2 linked regions of the Cricetulus griseus genome follow. The protein of the gene in region 2 purifies or fractionates together with the protein of the main gene of each other region. This does not show direct contact. Links are inferred from orthologs where the notes say so. Each region holds a gene or a part of one and is shown on either strand. Other genes may lie near its edges.

Region 1 (7,662 bases), on a different chromosome or scaffold from region 2:
CCCTCCTGCCTCTACCTCAAGTGCTCAGAGTACAGGCCCCTCCATATCACTACTGTTTAGTATTTTCAATCAGTGTATTGGAATAATCACTGCCTGCTTCACTACCTAGCTCTGAATCAAATCTTGGCCATAACTCAGTACTTACAGCCAAAACTAAAGACAGTTTGGTCTTCAGGTAGGAGAGAACTGATTCCTGCAGGTTGCTCTGACCTCCATATGTACACTGTAGCATTCATGTGCCCCTCTCCATACACAAAATAAATGCAACAAAGTCAAATCTTTCTTCAGATCTCCAGAATAAAGGAAGCTTTGACCCTTTCCATCTAGGATTTCTATGTCAGGATTACACTTTCAGTGGTTTATGTCATTACCCTTAATTTCTGTCTTAAAGATAACAGGTTTTTGTTTCTCCCAAATCAGCCTAATAACTGATTTTTATGTAGATCATAAACACACACACAGAGCAATGAAAGACAGAGTATAACTTAATCATTATTGGTATATTGGTTACACTTGTGATATTCACTAACAAAATATCTCTCATCTTAAAATTTCGTAAATCCTTTCCCCAAACTCCTGAACTAGTTTATTATACAATCTAGAATGCAAATATAGGCCAGATATTGGCATACTTGAGACCTCAAAAGAATGAATGAATAAATAATTGTCCATGCAGGGCCATGGTAACTCGAATCTGTAACGTCAGCACTTGGGAGGCAGAAACAGGAAGACTGGGACAAATACAAGGCCAGCCTCACCTACACAGTGTGTTTCAGGATAGCCAGGATTACATCACAGTGAAATCTTGTCTTAAAACTAAGAAAAAGGATTTAAAAAATTATTTTCCTTGCCATTTACTAGTCATTCCTCTTCTCCCTCTTGAAGTCTTCCCTAGCTCTCTTCTGTGCTAATAATTCTTTCTCTTTTTTATAATATTTACTTAGATTCTTGGGAGAGGGTGACACATAGAGACCAGAGAATATGCAGGTCCCAGGGATGGAACTCATCATCAAGGTAGCAGCTGAGCTATCTATCTCACTGGTGCACTGGTCATTTTCTTATATGTCTCTTCTATAGTAGTATTCCAAAAGAGCCAACAACAACAAATGACACTCCCCTGAAATCGTACTTCTCTGATCCATGCAGCTGTGTGTGTGTGTGTGTGTGTGTGTGTGTGTGTGTGTGTGTGTGTGTGTGTGTGTGTCTTGTGTATTATATCACAGGCTCTTGAGGTTAAGGCTTACATCCCTAAGTCCCAGCATAACTAAAATGCTTACTTAAAAATGATTTACAACACCTGCAATGTGCTTTGGTTAGCTGTCCAAATTTTTTACATACTTAGCCACACTACTACCTTAATACGTAGTAAAAATGACCTTTTTATACTACTTTACAAAAGGAGAAACAAATTAAAAGTCTGAATAACATCAAATTTTTGTCATCTAGTTCATCTTCAAGATCTTCTTACAGTATTAAAAAAATATAAGTAACACAGGCTGAAGAGACTGATTAGTTAAGAACATGTACTGTTTCTAGCAGAAAACTGGAGTTCAATTCCCAGCACCACATCAGAGGCTCACAACTTTTTGTAACTCCAACTCCAAGGAATGGCTCTACCCCAGTGGTTCCCAATCTAGGGGTCGAGACCCTACCATTTATAACAGTAGTACAGTTATGAAGAGACAACAAAAATAATTTTATGGCTGGGGGCCACCACAAGATGAAGAATTGTATTAAAGGGTCATAGCATTAGGAAGGTTAAGAACCACTGCTCTAACCTCAAACACACACATACAAATAAATAATATTTAAATATATGTAACAAAGCCGGACGTTGGTGGTGCACACCTTAATCCCAGCACTCTGGAAGCAGAGTCAGGCAGATCTCTGTGAGTTCGAGGCCAGCCTGGTCTACAGAAGGAGTGCCAGGATAGGCTCCAAAGCTACACAGAGAATGTTGTGGAATTTGGGGAGGCCCGTAGAGGGCCCTACCCTCTATGGGGAGTGGAGGGAGGAGGGGGCTGGGGGAGAAGTTGGGGGGGGAGAAGGGACTGACATGTGAAATTATAATTTTGTAAAAAGAAAAAATTGCCGAGCGTTGGTGGTGCACGCCTTTAATCCCAGCACTCGGGAGGCAGAGACAGGCGGATCTCTGTGAGTTGGAGGCCAGCCTGGTCTCCAGAGCCAGTGCCAGGATCGGCTCCAAAGCTACACAGAGAAACCCTGTCTCGAAAAACGAAAAACCAAATACATACATACATACATACATACATACATACATACAAAACAAATATAGGAAACTCCTCAAATAGTACAGGTTTACAAACCTCCCTAGTCTAGTAAATCCATGGGGGGGGTTGTTGTTTTGGTTTTGGTTTTTTGGTTTTTCGAGACAAGGTTTCTCTGTAGCTTTAGAGGCTGTCCTGGAACTCACTCTGTAGGCCAGGCTGGTCTCAAACTAACAGAGATCCACCTGCCTCTGCCTCCAGAGTGCTCGCCGCCTACGCCACCGTCCAACACCAGGCTGATTAAATCCAAGTTCTTTACGGATGCCAGGAAAACTAACTAGGAACCCAATTCAACTTTGCTCTACTAAACCAATTTTGTCCTGCAGAGTCGGTGACTTGGGGAAGGGGCTGCCAACACAGCAAGTATGAACTGTTCCCAACTTCTTAAAGAAGTACAAAAGTCTGGACCAGTAAGATGGCTCTATGATTAGACTGCTCGTCTGAGTTCAGTCTTCAGAAACCACAAAGGAAGATGGAACCAACTCTTAAAATTTGTTCCCTGACCTTTTTCACGCAAGTACTGTGGCACCTGTGCACCTGCAATCACATGCATTACACACACACAATAAAATTAATGTAAAATTCTACCAAGATACTATGACTTCTGCTTAGCACAAATGAAAAAGAACATCTCAGCATAAAACCACAGTCTTACAAAACTTGGAACTTAGAATGCATTTTGCAAGAGCCATGTGACACACACATGATGACAAGTCAGCTAAACTGATGGATAGACCTTTCATGGGGAAACACTTAGCGGTAATTGATCAAGCAACAAATTCAGCTTTAAGGCTATGCTGGCTTCTCTTATCAAAAAAAAAAAAAAAAAATCCACTCCCTTAAAGATTTCTGACACTAAAGAGAACAAAAATGCCATCTCTTCAAGTTAACTTTCATATATAAAAGTATAGGAGGATTTTAGGTGCAGTTCAAAAGAGCCCAACAATGTCTACTCAAGAAAAGAGATCACCAGTTCCCATGAAAGGTGCCAGGTGTGTCACATCTGCTATAGTGACTTCTTGAGTAAGCAAGAAAAAGGAATGCATTAACTTTTCATGACACGTCATGGAACCTCATTCCCTATCTACAGGCTTTCAACTAGGTAATCTAAAACCTACAGCTCTATCAAAGCTCTTTTCCAATTTGTGAGCAAACTCGTACTTTAAGTTGGCGGTGCCAGGAAGACATTTTTAATTTTAGTTGTTGTTATTGTTGACCTACTGAAAACAAAAGGTGACTTGGAGACTTAGGTGTCCTCTAAAACAAAAATTTCACAAATGCCCAGGATTGTAGAAGGACCATGGCTCACACTCTTTAAAGAACTCCTCAGGAGACAAGCCCAAAAGGAAACTAAACATTGTAAATACCTTCTCACCATCTCCTCAACCCACGCAGTCCCGAGAAACATCCATATTACCTGAAACCCGCCGGGGAGAGAGCTGTAACAAGCTGAGGATTTACAAGGAAAGCTGGTTTCCTCGCTGCCGAGGCTGACAGCTCCGCAGAGCCGGCGCAGGGTCTGACAGTGCCCTCTAGCAGAGCTCTCCCACCTACCTCCCTTAAAAACAAGTCCTCCTCCAGCCGTCACTGCCTCCCAGAGACGCGCCCCTCCTGGCCGCTGTCCGAGGCCGATTCCCCAACGCCCGGCCGCGGCACACAGCTCCCCGCCGGCTCCCCGGCCCCTGCCCCGGAGGCCCGACCCCTCCCCGCCGCGGCCCTCGGCCGTCAGACAATGGGGCCCTGGGGCCGCTCCGCCTCGCTCGCCCGGCCGACCTTCCCGCTGCCGCGCAGCGAGCCTCCCGGTGGCCTTCACCCCCCGGCCGGACGCCCTCACCCCCAGCCCGCCCCGGCTCTCCTGCACTCACTATTCGGGATTCATGCTGGACATGTCACTGCAGCTGCCGCCGCCGCCACCGCCCTTGCTGACGCAGCCGCCGCCCCGACTCTCCGCGCCACGGGTAATGGAAGGGAAGGAATGAGCTAAGCTGTTCCGGTAGAGCAAACGTCGACCCCACTCCGACCCTTAGAACACAATCAGCAGCCGCCGCCACTCAGTGATCGCTTCCACCCAAAATGGCCGCCGGCGAACCAGGAACTAGGGAAGCCTAGGCCAAGGGGCCTGTCGCGGCCCAGAGGGCGGCCGCGTCGCGCGGCACGCCGGGAAATAGAGTCGTGAGCGCACCGCACGCTGGCCAGCCTGACGGGGCCGAGGACAGCTTGCACTCAGCTTCCCACCAGGCCCCGCGCCCCGCACGCGTGCGCACCTGCGAGCTTGTCGTCCGCCCCGTCCCGATTCCCTCACCCCACACCCCGCCCTTCCTGCTCCCCTCCCCTCTGGCTTGCTGGCTAGGACTTCGCTCGGACTCCCCCTAGCGGATTGGCTAAGGCCGAGCGGGCTGTGTTGATGTCATCAGTGAGACGTGGCAGCTGGGCGAGTCGGCGCCCCACGGGAAGGGGAGGGGAAGGAACCCGGCGGAGGGCGGTGCCGCATCCGAGGGGGTGGGGGCTCCTGGGGACTCCAGGACAGAGTGAGGAGGGGCCATTGGGGCTGGAAGGGAGGTATGAGGACCACCTCCCTGCTCTGGCGCGACCCTGGGGGCCATCCACACGAGCCTCCGGACAGCTCTAAGAACAGAAGGAAAGTCAAGCCGCCTCTGTGGATCTTGCGCTTCTTATTCACCCGATCCGTTCTTTTCTCATTTTTTAAAAACCATTTTACTTTAGCAACCTGACATTGCAGTAGCTGCAAATGGACCCTGCTTTTGTCTCTTTTCTGCCGCCCCCCACCCCAGTCCACTTGCACATACAGCCAGATTTATCTTTCTGAAACTGCGACTCCATCATGACCTCCCAACCTTCAAAGGCTCCGCATTGTGTGGTTGAGACACAGGCTAGAGTCAGCCTAAACCAGTCTGCCTACTTGAGGCCTAGACTTATAAAGTTGAATTGTTGGGGGTTTTGTTTTTGTTTTTTCAGGTCTGCTGTTGTTTTTGTTTGTTTTATTAGTTAGTACTTAATTCTGTATCGTTCTGCAAAATTGGGCAGTAACAAGTAATTTTTTTCTTTCTTTTTGTTTTTTTGGTTTTTCGAGACAGGGTTTCTCTGCGTAGCTTTGGAGCTTATCCTGGGACTCGCTCTGGAGACCACGCTGGCCTCGAACTCACAGAGATCCTCCTGTCTCTGCTTTCCTAGTGCTGGGATTAAAGGCGTGCGCTACCAAAGCCCGACAACAAGTGATTTTTTTTTTCAAGCCATGCAATTCTTCACTACAGACTCCAGAACTAATATTAATACATTTTTAGACCTTATGCTCTTAACTTTAATCAGCTCAGGAATTTAAATGTTGACTAAACTTTAACACATTATCTTCGGTTATTTATTACAAAGGGCATAGTATAATACACTGTCCAAAGTTTATCTTCCAACTTGTTCTAAGCAAGAATATTATCTCCTGAGACCGACTGCAGAATTACTTTAAATTTCTGTGACATCAAAATAAGCAAAAGAGGCTGTTGTCATTTCTAACCAGATACTCAGTACCTCTTTACATGCCCCACCACCACCACCACCCTTCATGTGCCTTGATTGACAGCCTCATCAGATTATATATAGGTTTTGGGATTAGGGGTTTTTTTGTTTTTATTGTTGGTTTTGGGTTTTTTTTGAGACGGGTTTCTCTGTGTAGCCCAGGCTGTCCTGGAGCTCACTCTGTAGACCTCAAATTCAGTAATCCTCCCTCCTCTGTGATAGAATCAAAGGCCTGTGACATCCCCAGCGCCATCACGATGTCCCATAAGGGTTCTTTTACATGTTAACTTCTCAAATGGACTTGGTCACCACCCAAAAATTACCCTAGATGAAAAATGAAGCACCACAAGTGTGTAGCCCTGGACCCTGAAGCCTATAATATTTCCTGCTCATTGTCATTTTACAAAATAAAACCTCAGAAGTAGCCCCAAACTCAATTTTTCAAGCAAAATTTTATTTTGGTTTTTGTTTTGCTTTTTTTTTGTTGGTTTTTTTTTGGGGGGGGAGGGGTGGATTTGCCATTTAAACCCAGTGTGGCAGAGCATATCTTTAATCCCAGCACTTGAAGGCAGAGACAATTGAGTTTGAAGCCATCCTGGTCTACATAGTAAATTCCAGGAGAGCCAGGACTACATAGTGAGAGTGGTCTCAACCACCCCCCCTAAATAATCTGTCATTTAATTTTAATTTTATGTATATGAATGCTTTCCTGTATGTGTATGTATGTGCATGTTGTGGTGTGTGTGCCTGGTGCCCTCAGAGATCAGAAGAGAGTATTCGATCCCTGAAACTGGAGTTACAGATTGTTGTGAGTCATCATGTGGGTGCTGGGAACTCAACATGAGTCCCCAGCAAGAACAAAAAGTGCCCTTCGTGGATGAACCATCTATCCAGCCCAAGCTGGGTTTTTATTGATGATATTTTAATATAAACTCAAGCATAAATGTTAAGGGAGACTGCAGACTCTCAGAAAGAAAAGCACACTACAGAGCATGAATGTTGGCTTCTCTAAGAGATACTACCACCAAAACTCCATTTTTTTATCTGTCTGTCTCCTTGGAAGTTAATTTCCTCAACTTTCTTTCATTAACTATTTCGTTTCCTAACAAATTATCTAGTAACATAACCTAAGTGGCAAACAAAACAGTGTGAAGTATATAGCACAATTCCTCCTTGACACCCCTAAAGCTTAACTGTACCTGCTGTATAAAGAGGACAGGAAACTTCATGTCTTAGTTACTGTTATAACATGTAAATGGATTAGAAACAGTCATGGCTATAGAGTGGTGAGTGCCAGCTTCCTAGATCCTACTGCAACACAGGTGTCACTTATATTAAGATTCCTTCCCACAGGGTAGGAATCCCAGCACTTTAATCCTAACACTCTGGAGATAGAGGCAGGCCTCTGTGAGTTCCAGAACAGCCTAATCAACAAAGTGAGTTGCAGGACAGCCAGAGCTACACAATGAAACCCTGTCTCAACCCCCACTCCCCCCCACACACACCTAAAAAAGATTCCTTCCCATGGAACTGAAGAGATGGCTCAGAAGTTGTAAACAATTACTGCCCTTGTAGAGGACCCAGGTTTGGCTCCCAGACCCCACATGGTAACTCATAGCCATCTATAACTAGTTCCATACAACAACACAAAGCCTTCTTCTGGCCTCTTCAGGGACTGCATTCAGGTGATGTACATACATACATACATACATACATACATACATACATACATACATACAGTCAAAACACTCATATAAAAAAAGTAAATAGCTGGGTGGTGGTGGCTCGACTCAGGAAACAGAAACTCACAGGCAGATCTGTGAGTTTGAGGACAGCCTGATCTATA
Region 2 (7,616 bases):
CATCCAGAACATTCTATTCTGCAAAGTCCAATGAGTGTAGCTTCACATAGAAATGGCTCAGGAATCGAATAAAGGACTCTCTGGCAAAGAGCCAGATTCCAGGGAATCTTAGATTCAAGGTTCTGGGGTCCTAGACTTAGTTCAGGTACTACCAGGAACTGGGAAAGCTATTTTCATGGTCATCTGGTCCTTTACTTTGTATTTCCTTTACTTTTTAAGTATATTATTTACATTGACTATTTTACGTGTATGTGTTTTCTTGGCATATGTCTGTAGACCACATGCATGCTTGGAACCTATGGAGGTCAGATGAAGGTGTTAGGATTCCCTAAAACTGGAGTTATGGACAGTTGTAGGCCACCATGTGGCTGTTGGAATTAAACCTGGGTCCTCTGTAAAAACAAGTGCTTTTATCTGCTGAGCCAACTCTCCACCTTTACTCTGTACTAAGGCTGTGCCCCCATTAACCAGGGATGGAACAATGTACATGAAGATTTAGATGGGAAAGTAGAAGATGCCACAAAAATGCTCAAGGAGAGCGGGGGTGGGGGGAATGGGGGGGTGGGGAGGTGAGGGGCGGGGGGGGGTGGCCCACACCTTTAATCCCAGCACTCAGGAGGCAGAGGCAGGTAGATCTCTGAGTTCAAGGCCAGCCTGATCTATAGAGCAAGTTCCAGGACAGGCTCTAAAAAAATACAGAGAAACCCTGTCTCAAGAAAAAAAAAAAAAAGCCCAAGGAGGTAATTTCCATTCTTTTATTTATTTCATTTTATTTTTGGTTTTTCAAGAGTGTTTCTCTATGTAGCTTTGGCTGTCCTAGAACTCACTCTCTAGACCAGCTTGGCCTGGAACTCACAGAGCTCTGCCTGCATCTGCTTCCCAAATGCTGGGATTAAAGGCTTGTGCCACCACCACCAGGCTTATTGGTCTTAGTCATACCCACTAATGCCAGCTTGGGAAAAAAAGGTCCTCACCTTGCAAAGCCCTGGGGCAGCTCGCCCAGGCCATAGAGTGGGTACAAATATGGGCTCTTGCCATACCGGGCCAAGGACTCACTGTACAACTTGATACGGTTAATAGTCTCAAGACAGGGCTGATCCAGGTAGCTGGGGAACAAGAGAAGATGCTTTGACAGCAGCACTCCTGCTCACCTTCAAAGACACCATCCGCCTTCCCACCACCCTTTGTGACCTGGCAAAGATATGAGTCAAATGGAAGAGAGGGATGGAAATGCAACAGGTGAACTTATAGACAAGTACAAGAGATATGCAGGGTGGGCAGTGGATACAATAGGCAGGTGTGGGGAGGATAAAGTGTGAGGCAGACAAAGGGGCTCCTGCCACCAGCCAGCTTTCCCCTCACTCATCAGTGCGGTAGAGCGCCAAGGCATGGCCAGTGAAATCAATGACATCTTGGCCCAGATCAAACTTCCTGTAGACATCACGCATGCTGGTGGTCTGGGGGTCGACACCCTCAAAGGTTTTGGGGTCATTCTCATCAAAGTTTGCCACAAACACCAAGAATTTCCGGAAGCGTCGTTTTTCAAACATGCCCATCAGATCTGAAGGAAGGGTATTGAAAAGACTCTTTTTGTATTACTGGGACATAAAACTCTTCTTTCCACCAGAGCAGGCCAGGAAAGTTGGTGTCCTGGCTCCCACCAGAGCTCAGTCATGTAACCCTGCCCCACCCTTCTTGGCCTTAGTTTTCCTATTTGTAGGAAGAGGCACTCCTAGCTCCACTTGGGGATGCAATGGGGGTCAAGTAGGCCCTCTGCCAAAAAGAAATCCTCCTCAATGAGCTTCCTTTCTGGTAACTTGCCAGGATGGGTAGCACATTCCAATAAAGGTACTATAAAGCAAGGGGCCTCTGGTATTACATAGAGCTAAGATTAGGCTTAGGCAAATGGGAGCCTTTTGCCTAACTATCTTGAGAATAGTCTGCTTCCTCCTGTCCCATTATTCTCTGGCTAAGGAGACTCATACTTACTAGAAGCCAAGGCCTCAGTCTCAGTGGATGGTACTTTGTAGATCTTGCCTCCCTTGTATACAAAGCTGCCCTCAACCACCTTGAAGTCCAGATAACGAGTCACTTCTGTATACAGCAGCATCTTTACCAGCTGACCTGTGTCCAGAGAGGATTAGGGATGTCAGTGTAGCTCCCTTCAAAAATCTCTCAGTTGTCTGACTGACCTTATTCTGGAGCTTGAACCTCCCCTCTGGTCTTCCCAATCACCACCACCCACCAATCACCATATACATTATCTTCTTAATCTCCCTCACCATTGGCCATGAGAAATTTGGGGATCAAGTCAACATTCCAGTCTCGGCCCCGGCCCATTGACTCAGGGGGCCCTTCCAGCAACTGAAAACGTTTATATAGCTGTAAACAGGACAGAAAGAAAGAAAAATGTCAAGGACCACCTATCCCTCTCCCATTCTCCAGCCCAGCACCTGGGAACTACTTTGCCCCCATGCCCCTATGTGAGAGACTAAAAAGGGGTCTGGGTCTTAGCTCAAGTCCAAGAAGCCTTACCTCTTCCAGGGGTGTGATGGAAGAGCTCTCACCCCCATAGTAAGGGTTCCGGTCCATGTGCAGCACCTTCTTTCCATTCACAGACATGATGCCAGACAAGATGCATTCCTGGGGGAGGGGTGGCATTTGCAGCTACACTCCCATCTGCCTTCTGACCTGCATCCCTGGTTTGTCCCTGACTCAAACCCGACATAAATTTTGTAACATAAATCCCTGCCTCTTGTAGCACCTAAAACTGGAGAGAGGGGAAATGGCTTCATTCGATGTTTCCTTTATAACCCTGTTAGGCAAGACGGTGAAATGCCAGAGCATTAAATGAGGCTTAGGGAGGCAGAGCTTCCAGCAGACCCAAGGACAGTCTTCTAGTACCCACAAGCCAAGTAAGTATCTGCCTGCTCTGAGCCCACAAAAAGGTAACGAGTCTGGAGAAGAACCAATTCAAATGAAATCCCAGACCCCACCCTGGGCTGCTCCTCCTACAAAGGCAGGAGCCCCTGACCCTCCAGCCCTATCTACCGGTCCAGACTCAGGGTGCAAACCAACAACCAATCACTGTCACTAGCCCAAGGACAAAGGCAGAGGATATATTCAGCCTGAGATCTCCATGGGAAACCAGACTGGGGTAGAGGGAATGTCGTAACTACCCCCACTACTGCTGCTTCTGGAACATTCCCTGAATTACCGTCCCCTCTCAAAAGGCAAAAAGGCAGGATGAGAACCCACCCTTGGAATGCCCCCATACCCATACCTTTATACTCAATGCCCTAGTGTGATCACCACAAAATGGTAAGAGATGCTAATCAAGGATGCTAAGCAGGTGAAGGGTGGGGGCTGGGCACAACCGGTCCGGGGGGGGGGTAGTTTTCCACCTCGGTGACACAGATAGGGACGATGAAGGGGTCCTAGGGTGCAGGGATACAGGCTGAAACAGGGTCCTCTACGGGGAAGCAAGAAGATGGCAGCGCCGTCGAGTCGACATCCTAGGGTGAGGCAGTGGGGTGGGAGCGGGGTTGGCTTTGCCAGGACCAGAGCCAGGAAAGCAATGATGGGAGAATGAGACCGGTGACCAGGGCTCTGCATCACCGCGGGGGATGGGAAAGGCATGCTACAGGGCTATGAGTGCCTAGGGTGACACTTACGGTAAGACCTGTCCCCAGTACTATCACATCGTATTCCTCGTCCATGGTCAGGCCTTGGTACCAACGCCCGCTCGGCTCCTCCTCCTCCTTCACCACAGCAGCCACTGCCGCCGCCGCCGCTGCCACCGCACTGAACCAAAGATGGCGGCTATCAGTCGTCTCCAGATCCTTCCGCCGCGTCAAAGAGTCCCTCTCCCTCCTCGGGCCCTGCCACACCCTAGCGATGCCACCGTTTCTCCCGCTTATTTTCTGGAAGGGCTTCCAGCGCCTGAGTCTCCGCACCAGTACAATTTCGGGGGCAACGCAGATCTTCGCGAGCCCAGAGAAATGCGGGGCGGGGCGGGTCCGTGGCAGGTGCTGCGTCCCGCGAAGATCCATGCGCGGGAGCCGAGAGCGCCCCGCCCCGTCCCATCCCTCCTGGCGCGATCCCATACCGCCCCTCTGGGAGAAACAGCAAGGCCCTGTGGTATTTGCAGTTGCCTGTATCTTTCATTGTAAGGACTCTCCCCAAGGCCAGGAGAAATAATGGGCCTCTACCTTAACTCGTTAAGAGTATCAATCAGCTTGATGAAGACTCTCCCACCCTTCCCCTCTCACCTGTTAGGACTACACCTGGGCACTTCTTCCCCTCAGTCAAAAACAAATCTACTGTCAAGTGCAGAAATGAGTGACTCAAAGCCGAAGCCCAACACATATGACAACACGTCTTTATTTTATTAGGAAGGGAAACAAAAAGAGTACCCCCATCCCCATCTCTTGGCAGACAATCCTAGTGGGAATAAGCCTTGTGGAGGTCTCTTCTTTCTCAGGCTACAGAAATAAACCCCAGTGTACAGATCATTCTTAACATGTCACCCAAAAAACACAACAGCCAAGCTGGACAGACAGTTAAGTAGTCTTTCCATACATCTCAAACTCAAGGAACCTCAAGTTTATTGCTGTTGCTGGAAGATTCATAAAGCTTGGGGAGTGAGCATTAATTACACAGAAGCACTATAAACAGCAAGTAGCGGAGGGGCAAGAATAAATAAGGGGGAAAGGGAGAAAGGGAACCCTAGAATTAATGTTCCTTCCCCTCATGATGATGGAGCCTGGAAGATTTGTCTAATATCTATGAAGAATATATACACTTTGTTGGTAGAGATGGGGGATAGCCCCAGGGAAGCCAGTCCCTCAGTAGGTTGAAGAGGAAGCAAGACAGGCTGAGGGTACTGCAGGGTTCATGCTATCGAAGAGAAAAAAAACTTTCTATCCACTATGCCACAAGATGCAAACATGACAACCTAGACACCAACACTCCCTCAATCTCTCTCTGGCACAGGTCACACAATCTGTGTCAAAGTGATGGTGGGGCCCTTGTGGTCGTCAAAACGATCCATGGTCTTGAGGCTGAGTATCATGTGCAGGCCATAGGTGAAGATGAAAAGCATGAAGAGGGTGGTGAGCAGCCCCATCCAGATGCCTGGAGAGAAGAAGCCAGCACAGTCGCTAGCATAGGAGAACTGCTCACCCGTCACATTGAAGGCCTGGATCTAGGAGACACATAGACATGGATCAGAAGGGACCACAAGTTTCTACAGACAACAAGGGCTGGGGTTCTGGAATCAGTGAACAGTCTAGACCTTCAGAGACAGCATAAGGATGGAACTCTCAGCTACATGCTCAAGCCATACTGAAATTCTCTGGGCTCTTCTTCCCTCCCCCTACTGCCACCAGCTTGGAGCCCATTCCCCCTTTAATACCTGGAAGTCCTGAAGAGTCATCTGCCAGAGTGAGGGCACGTTGGTCACAAGGAGATTGCCTTTCTTGCTCAGACTGCTGACATACTCACAGTGGAAAGAATAGATGCTGGGTCCCGTGACTTGGGAAACATTGAAATGGGAAACAGAGCCATTGCTGTGGATTTCAAGTCGTTCCATAGTAAACCAGTATCGGGCAGACACTGGGTAGAAGCGACTAGCCAGAATGAACCTGGGAGGTGAGGGTAGCAGAGATTGTCAGATGAACAGAAGACAATGGAGACATACCAGCCAAGCCACACTTCAACCACCAGAACTTACTTGAATGTCACCATTGCACCAAAGAGTGGTTCATAGGTCAGTGAAAGCCTGTGGGACAAGGCAGAGGGGTGCTGTCAGGCTCTAGAAGGACCTAGAGTATGGTTCTCCTCAGGCTGGGTCCAATCTAAGCTGTCCTAAATCCATCCTTACAGTCACCTGCCAATACAGTGTCCCCATTTATCTGATGGGAAAACTAAGGCTCCAGTCATAAGCAAATCAGGAACAGTTGGGGGATCTGCACCTAGGTCCCAGATCTCCAGCTTAGGATTCCTTCCTCTGGTTCTCCTGAGTCCCCTGAGCCTCTTTCATCCCCTTCTTAAGGTTATTCAGCTGCCTGCTGAGGTTTCAGGTATAGGAAGCCTAGAACTGGTTTTGGCGGCTGGTCTGCTATTTGCTCACATGTAGTCCCAGGGGTTGAGTTCAAAGAAGCGCTAGGGTTCCAAGGGACTGTGTGAGGGTAATAACCCAGAACCCAACAACCAAGGCCTAAAAAGCATGGAAAGGTAAAACTTGTGAGGCTTCCTCTCCAGTAACCTCCCAGTAACATTACCCCGTGATACTATCTTCAAGTCCTTGGTGAACAGACCTTCTTCACCCCCAACATAGACACACCTGATCTACATTCTTGCCCTGTACTGGGCTCACAGTGGCAAGAAGGCCATATGTGATAACACAGTCCTTCCTTCCCTGCCTAGTGTCCTTACATGGCAAAGGAGTCGTTCCAGAAGGAGCCAGTCAAGTTAAGTTTCTCCACACCAAAGGTGAGGGAAGTCAAGTCTTTCCACTCGTCTTTGTATGCCACAGAGAAGTTTTGTGCCCAGAACAGGATCCTTGGGGCAGTGTCATTGTAACTCACAGGAGGATGGATCACATGTGATGCCACCTGAGTCTGAAGCAGCTGTCGACCTAGACCCTCAGCCACCATGGGTACATCACGGACCACCTGCAGAAATATCCAACAAGCCTTCTCTCAACAGCCCTAAAAACAAAGCCTAATCCATTGTAACAGTCTCCCTTCCCACTGGGTGCCCTGTGAGCTGAAAGTCCCTAGCCCTGATGTTCCATCTCCCTAAACTTATGAACACTTGCAGCAAGTACACATGAACACTGCCCAAGATGGGAAAAAAAGTCCCCATGAATTGAGAAAGCAATCCTTTGCCCACTAATCTCCCAAGATAAGGACTCCTGGGAGGCCCTGCCTATGACATACCCTTTCATCTCCAGGCACACTCACCAATGACCTCATAACCCCATGCCCCAGGGCCCCTGCTAGAAGAGTACGTACTCTAGAAGGGCGGACTGCAGTAAGAGCTGCGGTGTAAGGGACATCTTCAGACTTCAGTGTGCTCAGTACCTGTCCAATGACCTCATCTGAAGCGTGACAGGAGAGCAGAGAGCCAAGTCACCAGGTAGTCTGCTTAAATAAATACTCCCCACTGTCTGCTTTAGAGACCTTCTAGACCTTGAGAAATTCGGTGCTATTTGTTTCCACTGAAGACCCCTAAAACCAGCTATTTCTCCTTCTACCCCCTCTACCAGTCTCTCTGGGGACAATTGTGGCCTCAATCATGGACTCTCCAATGCCAAGCCCAACCTAAGTGAAACATATAGTGATACAGAGAACTCTAGATCTACCCAAATTCTTTTCCATGCAGATAGACTGTCCTTTACTACAAAGACAAGTCCTACTACAAAGACAAGTCCTCCTAATTGCTTTGCATAATGTTACTGGTCTATTAAATCCATAGATTTGTTAGACCTGTGCAGAAGCTAGATTACAGGGCTCTTGCACAAGGGTCATAAGGCACCTCTATCAGGTGAAGCTAGCTACAGAAGAACATGGCCAGGCAGGCAGCCACTATGTCCCTGCTCAGCTGTCAGC

What was found. Proteins that work in one complex are often made in the same cells at the same time.
Region 1: the proteins of Gdi1 (region 2) and Rab1a purify together in Homo sapiens (affinity purification with mass spectrometry; 7 studies listed by BioGRID and IntAct, counting the BioPlex papers as one, with this or other methods). This does not show direct contact. The link is inferred for Cricetulus griseus from reciprocal best matches to the Homo sapiens genes GDI1 and RAB1A.

What each region holds. Positions count from the first base shown.
Region 1 is NW_023276807.1:86,286,121-86,293,782, forward strand, and holds the start of Rab1a (ras-related protein Rab-1A), read right to left. Parts: upstream 4,386-7,662; 5' UTR 4,177-4,385; coding exon 4,154-4,176; intron 1-4,153. UniProt on the Homo sapiens protein: The small GTPases Rab are key regulators of intracellular membrane trafficking, from the formation of transport vesicles to their fusion with membranes.
Region 2 is NC_048604.1:1,415,175-1,422,790, forward strand, and holds the start of Gdi1 (rab GDP dissociation inhibitor alpha), read right to left. Parts: upstream 3,981-7,616; 5' UTR 3,720-3,980; coding exon 3,675-3,719; intron 3,516-3,674; exon of another isoform or gene 3,284-3,515; intron 2,644-3,283; coding exon 2,536-2,643; intron 2,383-2,535; coding exon 2,283-2,382; intron 2,125-2,282; coding exon 1,990-2,124; intron 1,562-1,989; coding exon 1,363-1,561; intron 1,107-1,362; coding exon 975-1,106; intron 1-974. Other genes in the region: Atp6ap1 (V-type proton ATPase subunit S1), read right to left, coding at 4,997-5,206, 5,417-5,645, 5,735-5,782, 6,439-6,677, 7,020-7,105. UniProt on the Homo sapiens protein: Regulates the GDP/GTP exchange reaction of most Rab proteins by inhibiting the dissociation of GDP from them, and the subsequent binding of GTP to them. Promotes the dissociation of GDP-bound Rab proteins from the membrane and inhibits their activation.